Linked DNA regions of Stegostoma tigrinum. The protein of the gene in region 2 binds, or shares a complex with, the protein of the main gene of each other region. Links are inferred from orthologs where the notes say so. Each region holds a gene or a part of one and is shown on either strand. Other genes may lie near its edges.

The links. The genes of interacting proteins can lie anywhere in the genome.
Region 1: thoc5 (region 2) and thoc3 share a complex: the UniProt entries of both Homo sapiens proteins name them as parts of the transcription/export (TREX) complex. The link is inferred for Stegostoma tigrinum from reciprocal best matches to the Homo sapiens genes THOC5 and THOC3.

The regions. Positions count from the first base shown.
Region 1 is NC_081366.1:46,164,186-46,171,830, reverse strand, and holds the start of thoc3 (THO complex subunit 3), read right to left. Parts: upstream 3,015-7,645; 5' UTR 3,000-3,014; coding exon 2,817-2,999; intron 1,443-2,816; coding exon 1,286-1,442; intron 1-1,285. UniProt on the Homo sapiens protein: Component of the THO subcomplex of the TREX complex which is thought to couple mRNA transcription, processing and nuclear export, and which specifically associates with spliced mRNA and not with unspliced pre-mRNA.
Region 2 is NC_081379.1:20,913,746-20,921,003, reverse strand, and holds the start of thoc5 (THO complex subunit 5 homolog), read right to left. Parts: upstream 3,009-7,258; 5' UTR 2,933-3,008; coding exon 2,831-2,932; intron 2,250-2,830; coding exon 2,106-2,249; intron 1-2,105. UniProt on the Homo sapiens protein: Component of the THO subcomplex of the TREX complex which is thought to couple mRNA transcription, processing and nuclear export, and which specifically associates with spliced mRNA and not with unspliced pre-mRNA.

The DNA.
Region 1 (7,645 bases), on a different chromosome or scaffold from region 2:
TCCTGATGTAGGGTAGTGTGATGAGTGTGTCAGGGTGTGTAGAATCATTCTGATGCCGTTCCTGTAGGCATCTGCAATCCAACCCCACCAAAGACATTTTTCCCTCCCCACTCTTATATGCTTTCCAGAGGGACCACTCTGTCCGTGTCTCCCTTGTCCACTCCACACTCCCCTCCAGCCCCACCATCCCCGCACTTTTCCCTGCAACAGAAGCAAGTGCTACACCTGCCTCTATACGTCACCCTGGTCCCAGGCTCTCAGAAGACTTCTCACATATACTGTATCCGCTAATCCCTCTACATTGGGGAAACCAAACGGAGGCTTGGGGACTGCTTTGCGGAACACCTACGCTCTGTTCGCAACAAACAACTACACCTCCCAGTCGCGAACCATTTCAATTCCTCCCACCCCCCCGCCAACCCGACTCCTCAGACAACATGTCCATCCTGGGCCTCCTGCATTGCCACAAATGACGCTACCCGAAAGATGCAGGAACAGCATCTCATATTTCGCTTGGGAGCCCTGCAGCCGAAGGGTATCAATGTGGACTTCACAAGCTTCAAAATCTCCCCTCCCCCGACCACATGCCAAAACCAGCCCAGTTAGTCCCCGCCTCCCTAACCATTCCTCCCACCTCAAGCCCCACCCCCATCCCCTACCCACTAACCTCGTCCCGCTCCCACCATACCCCACCCGTCCATCCTTCCTGGACTGACCTATCCCCCCCTAACTCCCCACCTACATTTACCTTCATTGGCTCTAACCCCACCTCTTTGATCTGTCTATCTCCTCTCACCCAATCTTCTCCTTTATCCATCTTCTATCCGCCTCCCCCTGTTTCTCTCTGTTAACCTGTGGAACACGTTTGCTGTAGAGGGCTGTGGAGGCCAAGTTATTAAGTGTGCTTAAATAAGAGAAAGATTGGTTCTTGAATAGTAAGGGAATCGAGGGTTACAGGAAGAAGACAGGAGAATGCTGTTGAGAAACATATCAGCCATGATTGAATAGCACAGTAAACCTAATGGGTCAATTGGTCTAATTCTGCTCCTATATCTTACAGTCTTGAAATAACATACTAAGAAATGATAGTATATTTGTAGAGAACGATGATATGCAATCTTTGGTGACAAAAATCCTAAATATAGAGCATCTCAACTATTTAAGTTGGAAGCAGCATTTTCATACTGTAGTCAGTCAAGTCATTCCTAACCCTTCATTATATGAACAAAATTTTTATACATTAAGTCATATATTACAGTATCCAGGAAATTCCTCAATAACATACCTTTCGTGTTCACAGTAGCAACGCATTTTGCAGTTCGGACATCCCAGATTCTAACCGTTTTGTCACCAGAGGCAGTTACAAAGAGATCTGCATTGGTTGGGTGCCAACAAAGTTGATCCACACTGTCACCATGACCACGATAATTATTCTCCTTAACCTGAAATACGCAAAAATGTTACATAAAGAAATAAGTGAACTGAATGCGAAATAAAAATGTTATAGCTGTATGATCCACTTTCTGTAAAGAAAGGTGGACTATATTTGTTGGTGAGTGAGTAGCTTTCCTGGAAATGAGTGTCACATTGGTTATTTCCCTGTGATGATGGCAAGTACAGTTGAAAATTTCTTCAAAGCATAGAAAACCATTTCTCACTCAGCACATCAACAAAATAACTATGCAGTCACGGTTAGTAATGAACACAATTTTATATCATGCCTCAATGTGAGAAAGGCAAAAGTGCAAACATTACCTTGTTTCAAATAACTGGTAGACATACAAAAAATTTACAGTTCATTTGTGACTTCCGAAGGGTATCAATTGGCTGACCTCATTCTTCATGAAAATTAAGATTAAAAGAAAAAAAAAGTGAAAGTGTGTACCGAAAATTCTCAGGAGTTCAGTCTCTGCTGATCAATTTCAATTATATGAGGTTCCCAAAAATCATAGAATCTCTAAAGTCTGGAAAGAGACCATACAGCCCATCAAACGTGCACCACCCTCTGGAGAGCATCCCACTTTATCCATATAACTATGAATTGACTACAGCTAACCAACTTAGCCTGCACACCTTCGGGCTATGGGACAAAACCAGAGCACCCAGCAGAACCCCACACAGTCACCCAAGGTTGGCACCAAAACCGGTCCACTGGCACTGAGGCGGACGTGTTACCATGGAGCCAGCACTTACATCCATGTTAGGTGGATGGGCCATGCTAAATTACCCCATAGTATCCAGGGATGTGTAGGCTGGGTGGGTTAGTCATCGTAAATGTGGGATTACGGGGAACAAGTTTGGGGTCAAGGTGGGATTCCTTCAGAGGGCAGAATAGCCTTTTCCCGCAGTGTAGGGATTCCAGGAGTTAAGGTTACTAAGTAGTCATGACGGGGAGAGAGACAGAAGTCGTTGGAAAAGCTCAGCCGGTCTGGCAGCATCTGAGGAAGGGTCACCGGACCCGAAAAGTTAACTGATTTTTTTTTCTTCACAGATGTTGCCAGACCTGCTGAGTTTTTCTGTTTTGTTTCTGATTTACAACATCCGCAGCCCTTTCGGTTTTTATGACAGGGGGTGCGGGGGGAAAGTAGAAACAGAACACCGAACGAGCACGGGTACGGGTGTCGGGGGGAGTGGGAGCATTTTGGAGGGCTTGTATTGGGGGTACTTTATCAGGTGCTGGATACTTTAGTGACGGAGGCCGGACGGCTTGTGTGCTGTGTGTGTGTGTGTGTGTGTGTGTTGGGGCAAGAGGGAGATAAACCGAGTTGAAGGTTGATTCCCCTCTCATCCTCTCTCTGTTTCATCTCGCCACTGACCAGCCGATCCTTCTCTAGCACAAACACACTAGCTGTTTTGTCGAAGGAGCCAGACGCGAGCCTGCGTCCATCGCAGCTCCAAGCCACCGAGTGCACCTTGGCCGTATGGGCCGAGAATTCCTTGGTGCGGCCGTTATTTTTGAAATGCTCCTGGGATTCCAGCAAGTAACTGGCTGCCGCCATCTTGCCGGCTCGGTCCACTCCTCTCACAATCTGGATGGGGGAGGCGTGAGCGAATGGTCACAGGGATTACTTGGTGACTGCAGACCTCGGGCACAACTGATACTTATGTCGTTTTAAAAATCATGTTTTCTCTCTAAACATATTTGAAAATGCAACCAGTTTTCATTTTTGAAAAGTTTGTGCTCTAAAATCCATCCCTGGAAAGAAATGGTACGGTCAGATATCACTTACTACTGTCTTAAAGGGGTAATGACCCTTTCACTGCATCTCTGAGATAACAACGTGTGAAACTGGATGAACACAGCAGGCCGAGCAGCATCTCAGGAGCACAAAAGCTGACGTTTCGGGCCTAGACCCTTCATCAGAGAGGGGGATGGGGAGAGGGTTCTGGAATAGAGAGGGGGAGGCGGACCGAAGATGGGTAGAGGAGAAGATAGGTGGAGAGAAGAGTATAGGTGGGGATTTGCGTTCATCCAGCTACACACTTTGTTATCTTGGATTCTCCAGAATCTGCAGTTCCCATTATCTCTGTTCATGCATTTCTGTTTGGTTCTTTCACAGGAGAGGGCTGTACAATCCTCACTCATAGATTCATAGAGTCATACCGCACAGCAACAGACCCTTCGGTCTGACTCATCCATGCCGATCAGATATCCTAAACTGATCAAGTCCCATTTACCAGCATTTAGCCCATATCCCTCTAAACACTTCTTATTCATGTACACATCCAGATGTCTTTAAGATGTTGTAATTGTACCAGACTCCACCACCTCCTCTGGCAGTTCATTCCAAACATGCACCACCCTCTGTGTGAAAAAGTTACCCTTCAGGTCTGTTTTAAATCTTTCCTCTCTTACCTTAAACCTATGCCCTCTAGTTTTGGATAACAAAGTGTGTAGCTGGATGAACACAGCAGGCCAAGCAGCATCTCAGGAGCACAAAAACTGACATTTTGGCTCTAGTTTTGGTCTCTTCCACCCTGGGCAAAAGACCTTGGCTATCCACGCTATCATGATCTTATAAACCTCTATAAGGTTAGCTGTCAGCCTCTAATGCTCCAGGGTAAAGCTAGGTAGGGGAAACTAAACCAGGGTTTTCATTCACCAACATCTGCTGAAAGTACACAAGTGTATACTTTAGGTGAGAGTTATAAAATGTTTCAAGTACAGCAAATTTAGATTGAGTACTGGAGGATGTCTATAATCCATGGAACTTTATTCTAAAGAAAAGAGGGGGAAAGCAGGAAAAAAATAATGTTAATATCAAAATAATAAAGTAGAACCAGCCTTGGTCAGAAAGGTTTTTGACAGTATGGTAAGTTCCCCTTCAGCCGATCATACCATACTGGCCGTGAAACATCCATCTATTCTATACCATTTTCCAGCACTTGGCTCTTGGCTTCATATGCAATGGTGTTTCAAGTTCCCATCAAAATTGTTCTTAAATGTCTTGAGAGTTTCTACCTCTGACTGTACCTCTAGGCGGTGAGTCTGGATGTCCACAATTCTCTAACCCTCTGGGTGGTTGTTTTCTAACCCTCTGGGTGAATGTCAGATGTGTACATTTAGGGGCAAATGTAGGAGCAACAAGCACAGAGGACCCTAGATGACTAGGAATATTCAGTACAGGATAAGAAGGAAAAGAGAGACTTTTAACAGCTTCAAAGGGAGCATATGACCAGAAGCTTCATTGCCCTAGTGTAGGAAGCACAAAGGGGGGATCTTAAGAAAGTAATTGGGAAACTAAAGAAGGGGCATGAGAAAATACTGGCAAGTAAGATTAAGGAGAATCCCAAGATGCTCTATAAGTATATTAGGGGGCAGAGGATTACCATGGAAAATTCAAGCCTTGCGACGGACCAAGGGGGCAATCTATGTGTGGAGTCAGAGGACATCAAATGAGTTTATAATGTTAAACATGTTAAATGAGTACTTCACTTCTGTCTCCTGACTGATAGATCAGTCCATACTAATTTTAACGGATTGCAGAAGCAGTAACAAAAAATACAATGTGCCCCTACTGTTTTGGATATTTGTTTATGGTAGAGGAAAACAATGTTCATGAGTAAAATTTTGGAAATATGACGGGACAAATTGATAACACTAAGTTTTCAAAAAACTGTAGTTATATATCAGGTCCCAGATCATAAAATCATCGATGACAGCCTTCCACCCTTCAAGTCTGCACTGACAAAAAAACTACTGTCAATAATGATCCCACTTTCCAGCACATGGTCCATCGTTTTGAATTTTTTGGCAGTTCAAGTCCTCAACCAAGTATTTTTTTCAAGGTAATAAGGTTTCTGATTGATTTTTCGGAAAAGAGTCTGTAATGTTTTTGAGCAGTTTGGCATAGGGAGTGATGAGACATTAGAGATTTTGGGAAGCTTTAAAATGAAGATATCCCCAGGTCCAGATGATTTGTATCCCAGGCTGCTGTGGAAGACAAAAGAGGAAATTACATTAGCTCTGACCCAAATATTAATTCCTGTATGACCTCAGTAGAGGTGTCAGAGGATTAGAGAACAACTAATGAGGTTGCACTTTTCAGGATGAGTTGGAGAGATGAACCAGGGAATTATAGAACATTGAGTCTCACATTAATGGTAGGAAACTATTGGAAAAAATTCTGAAAGAGAGAATCAATGTCTACTTCAAAAGGCAAAGTTTGATCAGGGATAGTCGGCACTTTAGAGGGAGATTCATATCTAACAAAATTTGATTGAATTTTTCAAAGAGGTGACGAGATGTGCGGATAAGGGTAGTGCATTTGATGTTTATGTGGATTTTAGCAAAGGTTTTGACAAGGTACCATGTGGGAAATTAATAAAGAAAATGAAAGTACATGGAATACGGTGCCTCACGGGCGGCTGCTGAGCAAGGTGAGGGCCCATGGTGTTCGAGGTGAGCTACTGGCTTGGGTTGAGGATAGGCTGTCTTACAGAAGGCAGAGAGTTGGGATAAAAGGCTCTTTTTTGGAATGGCAACCGGTGATGAGTGGTGTCCCGCAGGGTTCAGTGTTGGGGCCACAGCTGTTCACCTTGTATATTAATGATCTGGATGAAGGGACTGGGGGCATTCTGGCGAAGTTTGCCGATGATACAAAGATAGGTGGACAGGCAGGTAGTACTGAGGAGGTGGGGAAGCTGCAGAAAGATTTAGACAGTTTAGGAGAGTGGTCCAGGAAATGGCTGATGAAATTCAATGTGAGTAAATGTGAGATTTTGCACTTTGGAAAAAAGAATACAGGCATGGACTATTTTCTAAATGGTGAGAAAATTCGTAAAGCAGAATTGCAAAGGGATCTGGGAGTGTTGGTCTAGGATTCTGTAAAGGTTAACTTGCAGGTGGAGTCCGTGATTAAGAAAGCGTATGTAATGTTTTTGTTTATCTCAAGAGGGTTGGAATATAAAAGCAGCGATGTGCTTCTGAGGCTTTATAAAGTTCTAGTTAGGCCTCATTTAGAATACTGTGTCCAATTTTGGGCCCCACACCTCAGGAAGGACATACTAGCCCTGGAGCGTGTCCAGCGGAGATTCACACACATGATCCCTGGAATGGTAGGTTTAACGTATGATGAACGGCTAAGGATCCTGGGATTGTACTCATTACAGTTTAGAAGGTTGAGGGGAGATCTAATAGAAATTTACAAGATAATGTATGGCTTAGAAGGGGTGGACGCTAGGAAGTTGTTTCTGTTAGGTGGGGAGACTAGGACCCGTGTGCACAGCCTTAAAATTAGAGGGGGTAAATTTAAAACTGAAATGAGACGACATTTCTTCAGCCAGAGAGTAGTGGGCTTGTGGAATTCATTGCCACGGAGTGCAGTGGAGGCCAAGACGTTAGATGCCTTCCAGGCAGAGATCGACAAATTCTTGATCTCACAGGGAATCAAGGGCTACGGGGAGAGTGCAGGGAAGTGGAGTTGAAATGCCCATCAGCCATGATTTAAATGGCGGAATGGACTTGATGGGCCGAACGGCCTTACTTTCACTCCTATGTCTTATGGTCTTATGGATCTATGTAACTTGGCAATTTGGATCCAAAATTGGCTCAGCGTTCGGAGACAGAGGATAATGGTAAAATGTTGTTTGTGTGTTTGGAGGCCAGTGTCCATAGGGATCAGTATGGATTCCTTATTGTTTGTTACATGTAGACATGAGAGAGGATAAATTGTGGAAGGGGTGATAAGTCAGTTGGCAGATGATATGTAGATTGGCCGGATAGTTGACAGTGAGGAAGCAGTTCTTCGGTTACAAGGGGATATAGATGTATTGGCCAGATGGTAAATCAGTGGAATATAAACTGGATATGTTTGAGGTGATGCCCTTTGGAAGGAAGTAACAAGACAAAGGAGTACTCAATGAATGGCAGCTCAGAAACAGGGTTTTTGGGGTGTTTTATCCACAGGTGGCAGGACAGGTTAGTAAGGTAGTTAAAGCAAGTGGGACAACAAAGTGTCGAGCTGAATGAACACAGCAGGCCAAGCAGTATCCTAGGAGCACAAAAGCTGCCACATTAGCTGAAACGTCAGCTTTTGTGCTCCTAAGATGCTGCTTGGCCTGCTGTGTTCATCCAGCTCTACACTTTATCTCGGATTCTCCAGCATCTGCAGTTCCCATTATCTCTGAAGCAAATGGGACTTGC
Region 2 (7,258 bases):
AAGAAGTTCTTCCTATTACTGATTTTTCAATTATATTTGATTAATTTTCATTTACATCTTCAGCTAACAGCTCCTCAAAGTGTGAACATGGCACAGTTAGCCACATTGTCATCGCTGAGTCAAAGGTTTGTAGGTTACGAGTATCCAGAGGGTTACCAAGGCCCACATGCTGAACTGGACCTGCCATCAATGTTTATATTGTGGCTATGAGAACAGGGAATTCTGCAACAAGTAACCCATCTGTCTCCCCAATGTCTGTCATCGTGCACAAGGTATAAATGAAAACTCTCAAAGGACACCATTTGCCTGAAATGGTGCTGCTCCAACAACACTCAAGAAGCTTAACATCATCCAGGACAAAGCAGCCTACTTGACTGACACCACTGTTAATACCTTAGACAATCACTCCCTCCACCAACGATGTGCAGTGAAAGCAATGTATACTATTTACAAGGTGCACTGCAGCAAATCAACACTCCTTTAACAGCATTTGTCTCCAAACCTACAACCTTGAACATTTAGAAACCGGGACAGCAGATACATGGAAACATCACCACTTACAGATTATCTTCCAAATCACTCACCATGATGTTTTGGAAACACATCGCTGCTCCAGAAAAATATCATTGCTCATAATGTCAGAGCAAGGGGCTGCTCATTTAGGACAGAGATGTGAAGAAATCTTTTCTCTCAGAAAATGTTTAATCTGTGGTATTCTTTACCACAGAGGCTAGGTTGTTAAGAATGTGCAAAGCAGAGATAGACAAAATTTTAATCAGTAAGGGAATCAAGGGTTATGGGGGAAGTGCAGTTCAGGAGTGGCAGCTCTGCCATGATCTCATCGAATGGCAGATTGATTACCAAGGGAAAGAAGGATTATCCAGGGTATGCAAGAATGCAAAGTTGAGGTTAAAATTAGATCAGCCATAACCTTATCGAATGGTAGAGCAGGATCTGTAGCCTATTCTTGTGCCTAGTTCATATAGTCGATGCAGATCAGACTCAATAGGCCATATGGCATACACCTGCTGCAATACCTTATCATTCTTTTGCTGGGTCAACATCCTGGAACTGCTTCTCCAACAGCTCTGCAGCTATATCTGTATCAGAGGAACTGCAGTGGTTCAAGGAGTCAGCTTACCATGAGAAAATACCCAAGACATTTCCTTCATTTTACTATCTCTTCTGACAGCAGGCCACATCACTCTGTTACACCATTATTCAATTTTTATTTACAGATAAAAACACAGAAGCAAAATTATGACATCCAAAAAATACATACAATACTATTCTGTATTATGTCCATAGTTCTTAAAATTTCTTCCAGCAGCAGTTCAGCAAGCATCAGGTGTTAAATACCCAACCCTTTAGATTAGATTAGATTCCCTACAGTGTGGAAACAGGCCCTTTGGCCCAACAAGTCCACACCGCCCCTTGGAGCATCCCACCCAGACCCATCCCCCTATAACCCACACACCCCTTAACACTACGGGAAATTTAACATGGCCGATCCACCTAGCTTGCATGTCTTTGGATTGTGGGAGGAAACCGGAGCACCCGGAGGAAACCCATGCAGACACGGGGAGAATGTGCAAACTCTGCACAGACAGTTACCCGAAGCTGGAATCGAACACGGATCCCGGCGCTGTGAGGCTGCAGTGCTAACCACTGAGCCACCGTGCCGCCTTTACTGACCTGCCTTCTCATTCCTTTACAGCCCGTCTAGTTTTAACATCTAAGGCCAGTTAGGAACTATATTAGACTACCAAATTGAATTATAGTAAGTTTTAAAAACAATATAGACGTGAATGTGCGATTCACTGCTCTTGCTACTTACCTGGGGAAAAAGATTAAAATGTAAATAAAAACAGAACATGCTGTACATACTCAGCAGTCTGGCAGCATCCTTGAATTGAGGGAAGAGTTGACATTTCAGCTCAATGATCTATCAACTCTGGTGAAAGATTATCAGCCTGAAACATTACCTCTCTTCTTCTAACCATAGCTACTCCAGATTTAGAATTTCCAGTAATTTCTACTTTCAGCTGAGATTTTCAGCACAGTGTTTGATTTTTTTTCACTTAAATAAATTCAGTGCCACTTACAGCATCTTTTCCTCCTTTACTCTTTAATTCATGAATCTCAGCCATCAACCTTTGGAGATCCTCACAGGTTTTCTTGTACATATCATAGTCTTTAGCAGGGTCTCGTGTCTCCACTTCCGCCTCTTCACTATAAACTTTACTCTCCTAATAAAGAACACATACATGTATTTTACAGTTTTATAGAAATTACAAACAATTAACAGTAACTGATAATGACTACTGATGTACATTGAGGTGGCTAAATAAGTGACATTGCCAAATAGGAATTATAAAATGTGAAAGGGTTGGACATAACATCAGGAAGGATTCTTAAATTTGTGGTTTCTGCTCAAACACTGAATCAACTTTAGTCCGGTTCAGCTGATTATACCAGCACTCGAGACTGAAATTATATCTCCTAAAATTAAAAAAAATTCCAGATGCGGAGATTTATCTTTTAACTTCAACTTTCAAAGGACAACAGGATACTGAGATACTCTTTAGCCCAAACACAACCAGTTTCAACAGAAATTTCGGGTAAAAGTCCAATAAAATAAAATGTTCGCGCTCTCATATCCCTTCACGTTCAGTCATTCCTACACAGGGGAACAAGGTATCTGTCAGGAGGGATTAGGCTCCCCTTCTGCTTATTGTATGTGAACAAACAGCTCAATGTGTTGGCCTGGACAGGTCGGGCCGGGCTAGGCCTCGGCACCCTAGCCTCATCGGATTCAGCCTCTCCCCACCTGGTCTCCATCACCCCGAGCCTTTCTGCTCTCCTTCTCCACCGTTCCGCCATCACTCCGAATCACTTTGGTTTTTCGCTTCTTCGCCGAATCAGCGGACATTACAACTTTCCGGCCCCAGCAATCGGACAGTGACCGAGAAACTCTTTCCACAGGAGAGGCGGGGGTCCAGGCGGAAGAAATGGGAAAACTATACCTCCTCACCTGCCGGGGGCGCTGTTTCTGCACCAATGGACGAAATGGGACCCTCCCCACCTGCCGGGGGCGCTGTTTCTGCACCAATGGATGGAATGGAATCCTCCCCAACTGCCGGGGGCGCTGTTTCTGCACCAATGGATGTAATGGAATCCTCCCCAACTGCCGGGGGCGCTGTTTCTGCACCAATGGATGGAATGGAATCCTCCCCAACTGCCGGGGGCGCTGTTTCTGCACCAATGGATGGAATGGAATCCTCCCCAACTGCCGGGGGCGCTGTTTTCGCAGTGAGGGAAGAGTCCTCCCTGCCTGTTGAGGGCGATTGAGGTAAACTAATCAGCAGCGTACAAGGGATAAAATTGTATTTCTGGACAGTGTCAGGAATTGCGTGTAGTTTTTCTTTGTTTTGTGTGACTCTTACGCACTGGAAAAATACAGTTACTGACTTTGGTTCACTCACTGGGATTAGGATTCCTTTTAACAAGTGCAAAATCTCTGGAAGAATAAACTGTTAAAGTAACCACTGGCATTAATTTTAATGAACTACCATACATTTTTAATTATACCAATTTTTCAATAGCAGGTAAAACTCAGAAGTTAGACTCTGCACACAGTTTACTGTAATTGCTGGAGAAACACAGTAGGTCGGGTAGCATCTACGGAGATAAGGCAGGAAAGGTTTCGGGTCCAGTTGACCCTTTTTCAGAACGACATTATTCACTTCATAAAAGGAAACTAAAAGAAAAACCTGCATGTGTGATTCCTTATGAAGTAGAGTAAAGCCAAGTGATATTCAGGCATAAGACAACAAAATGTGAGGCTGGATGAACACAGCAGGCCGAGCAGCATCTTAGGAGCACAAAAGCTGACGTTTCGGGCCTAGACCCTTCATCAGAAAAGGGGGATGGGGAGAGGGTTCTGAAATAAATAGGGAGAGAGGGGGAGGAGGACCGAAGATGGAGAGAAAAGAAGATAGGTGGAGAGGGGACAGGTCAAGGAGGCGGGATAAGGTTAGTAGGTAGGAAATGGAGGTGCGGCTTGAGGTGGGAGGAAGGGATGGGTGAGAGGAAGAGCAGGTTAGGGAAGCGGAGACAGGCTGGACTGGTTTTGGGATGCAGTGGGTGGAGGGGACGAGCTGGGCTGGTTTTGTGATGCGGTGGGGGGAGGGGAAGAACTGGCCTGGTTTTGGGATGCAGTGGGGGAAGGGGAGATTTTGAAGCTTGTGAAGTCCACATTGATACCATTGGGCTGCAGGGTTCCCAAGCAGAATATGAGTTGCTGTTCTTGCAACCTTCGGGTGGCATCATTGTGGCACTGCAGGAGGCCCATTATGGACATGTCGTCTGAGGAATGGGAGGGGGAGTTAAAATGGTTGGCGACTGGGAGGTGCGGTTGTTTATTGTGAACCGAGCGGAGGTGTTCTGCAAAGCGGTCCCCAAGCCTCTGCTTGGTTTCTCCAATGTAGAGGAAGCCACACCGGGTACCATGGATACAGTAAACCACATTGGCAGATGTGCAGGTGGACATCTGCTTAATGTGGAAGGTCATCTTGGGACCTGGGATGTGGGTGAGGTGTGGGGGCAAGTGTAGCACTTCCTGCGGTTGCAGGGGAAGATGCCGGGTGTGGTGGGGTTGGAGGGGAGTGTGGAGCGGACAAGGGAGTCACGGAGAGAGTGGTCTCTCCGGAAGGCAGACAAGGGTGGGGATGGAAAAATGTCTTGGGTGGTGGGGTCAGATTGTAGATGGTGGAAGTGTCGGAGGACGATGCGTTGTATCCGGAGTTTGGTGGGGTGGTATGTGAGAACGAGGGGAATCCTCTTGGGGCGGTTGTTGTGGGGGTGGGGTGTGAGGGATGTGTTGCGGGAAATACAGGAGACGTGGTCAAGGGTGTTCTCGACCACTGTGGGGGGGAAAGTTGCGGTCCTTGAAGAACGTGGACATCCTGTGGGAGTGGGTGGGGGCTGGGTTCTGCAAATGTTTAAAAGAGGGCCTGAAGAGTTCTGCTGAAGAATCACATCAGAATTGATACTCGAACTCTCATTGTCTGTCTGCAGATCCAGGCAGACCTTATGAGTTTCCCCAGCACTGTCAGTTTTTACTTAAAAGGGGAGCAACAAGAAGACCACGTGCCACTTGTAGTGCAGTGATAATGTGCCACAGTGGTTACCTTGCGGTCAGAAACTCTGAGTTCACATCCTACCTAAGGAACTATGCCATTACATGTTTAAGCAGGCTGATTAAACAAAAATAAAGTTATTCTGGGTTTTATGTCTCAACCACTGAATTGGATCCAAATTGATAGCAATCAACCTCAGACACAGGACAATTGCCTGGAATATAGGGAAGAAGCATAAAATTTGGGACGTTTGATTATCCTCTGTGAAGTATACAATGTTAATATTACTTTTGACATTGACTACTTACATTTATCTAGCACCTCTAATGATAAAATGTGCCAAGGCTGTTCAATGGATAAGTATAATTCAGAGTATGATACATAACTACATTAAATGAAACAAACAAAACCTTGATCAAAGAGATAGGTTTTAAGGGAGTTTTCAAGGCAGAGAGTGAAAATTTCATACAACAGGCCTGAGGTGTCTGAAGTGTAGCCACAACCGTGAAGCAATTAGAATTGGGGATGGTCAAGAAGCTGCATTTAGGTGAGTGCAGATAACTTGAAAGATTGTATGGCTGGAGGAGATTACAGAGGCCATGGAGGAATTGAAGGCAAGGATTATAATTTTACAAACAATGTTCTTTGACAAGGAGCTAATGTAGGTCAGCAAGCAAAAGGATTTTGTTTGATTTAACACACGGGCAACAGCTAACCAAAATATGAATGAGGATTTCAGCAGTAGGAACAAGGGGTGAGCTTGACACAAAGCTAACAAAAGAACTTAACTACTTAATATGTAAAGACCGCATCAATTGCTCATGGTGGAGCCAATTATACTGTATTGTACCTAATAATAAGTAGTTAACCAATAAAGGGTAATTTCAGATTTAAAAGCTACAATGTGGTAAGGATTAGTGGGAAATTAGAGGATTGGTTAGGTTTTAATTACCAACAAAGATGATCAAGAACAAATGAGAGACAAAATAAGCTTTGGAGGTAAACTAGCATGTAATGTCAAAACAGATCATAAGAGCTTCTTTAAATGTATAAGAAGGAAGTGAAAAGCCAAAATGGTGACCTTATTGAGGTTTACAAATCATGAGGCACATTGATAAGGTGAATGACAAGGGTCTTTTCCACGGGTGGGGGAGTTCAAAACTAAGGGACATATTTTTAAGATGAGAGGAGAAGGATTTAAAAATGGACATGAGGTGTAACTTTTTTACACAGATAGTGGTTTGTGTGTGGAATGAACTGCCAGTGGTGGATACAAGTACAGTTACAATGTTTAACATACTTTTGGATGAGTTCATGAGTAGGAAAGGTTTGGAGGGATATGGGCCAAGCATAGATGGGTGGGTCTAGATTAGTTTGGGGACATGTTGGGACATGTGCACTGGTTAGACCAAAGGGTCTGTTTCCATGCTGTGTGGCTCTATAACTGGATGAACATTTGTTCCTTAGAGAATGAGGCTCGGGAAATAACATGAACCAAAGAGTAGCAAAGGAGTCGATTAAATAATTTGTATAAGTCTTCACAGCAGAAGAGACTAATTGTATTACAAAAGTACTAAATAATCAAGGTCAGAGGGAGGAGAAGATATAAATACATTAACTATCATTACTCAAGAAAAGGTCTATGGACATTAATGGGGCTAAAGGCTGATATGTCCCCTGAATCTGATGGGTTACCTCCTAGAATGGTAAAGGAAGTAGGTGCAGAGATAGTTGATGCACTGGTAGTAATCTATGAAAAAGCATTAAAATTCTGGAAAAGTTGCAGAGGAATCAAAAACTGCCATTGTATCACTTTTTTTTAGAAGGGAAAGGAGACAAAAAAAAAGTGTAACTAGAAGCCAGTTAACTTAACATCTGTAATTGAGAAAGTATTACAGCCCATTATAAAGGATGTGATAGTGAAGTATTTAGGAGTGAATAACACTTTCAAGGAGTGTCAGCATGGTTTCATGAAGTGAAAATCATGCCTAACGAATTTATGGCTTTAGTTTTAAAAACCATGTTCACTGAGTGACCTATCCACTCCCTACCTCCCCACCTATACTCTCCTCTCCGCCTATCTTTTCCTCTATCCATCTTCGGTCCGCCTTCCCCTC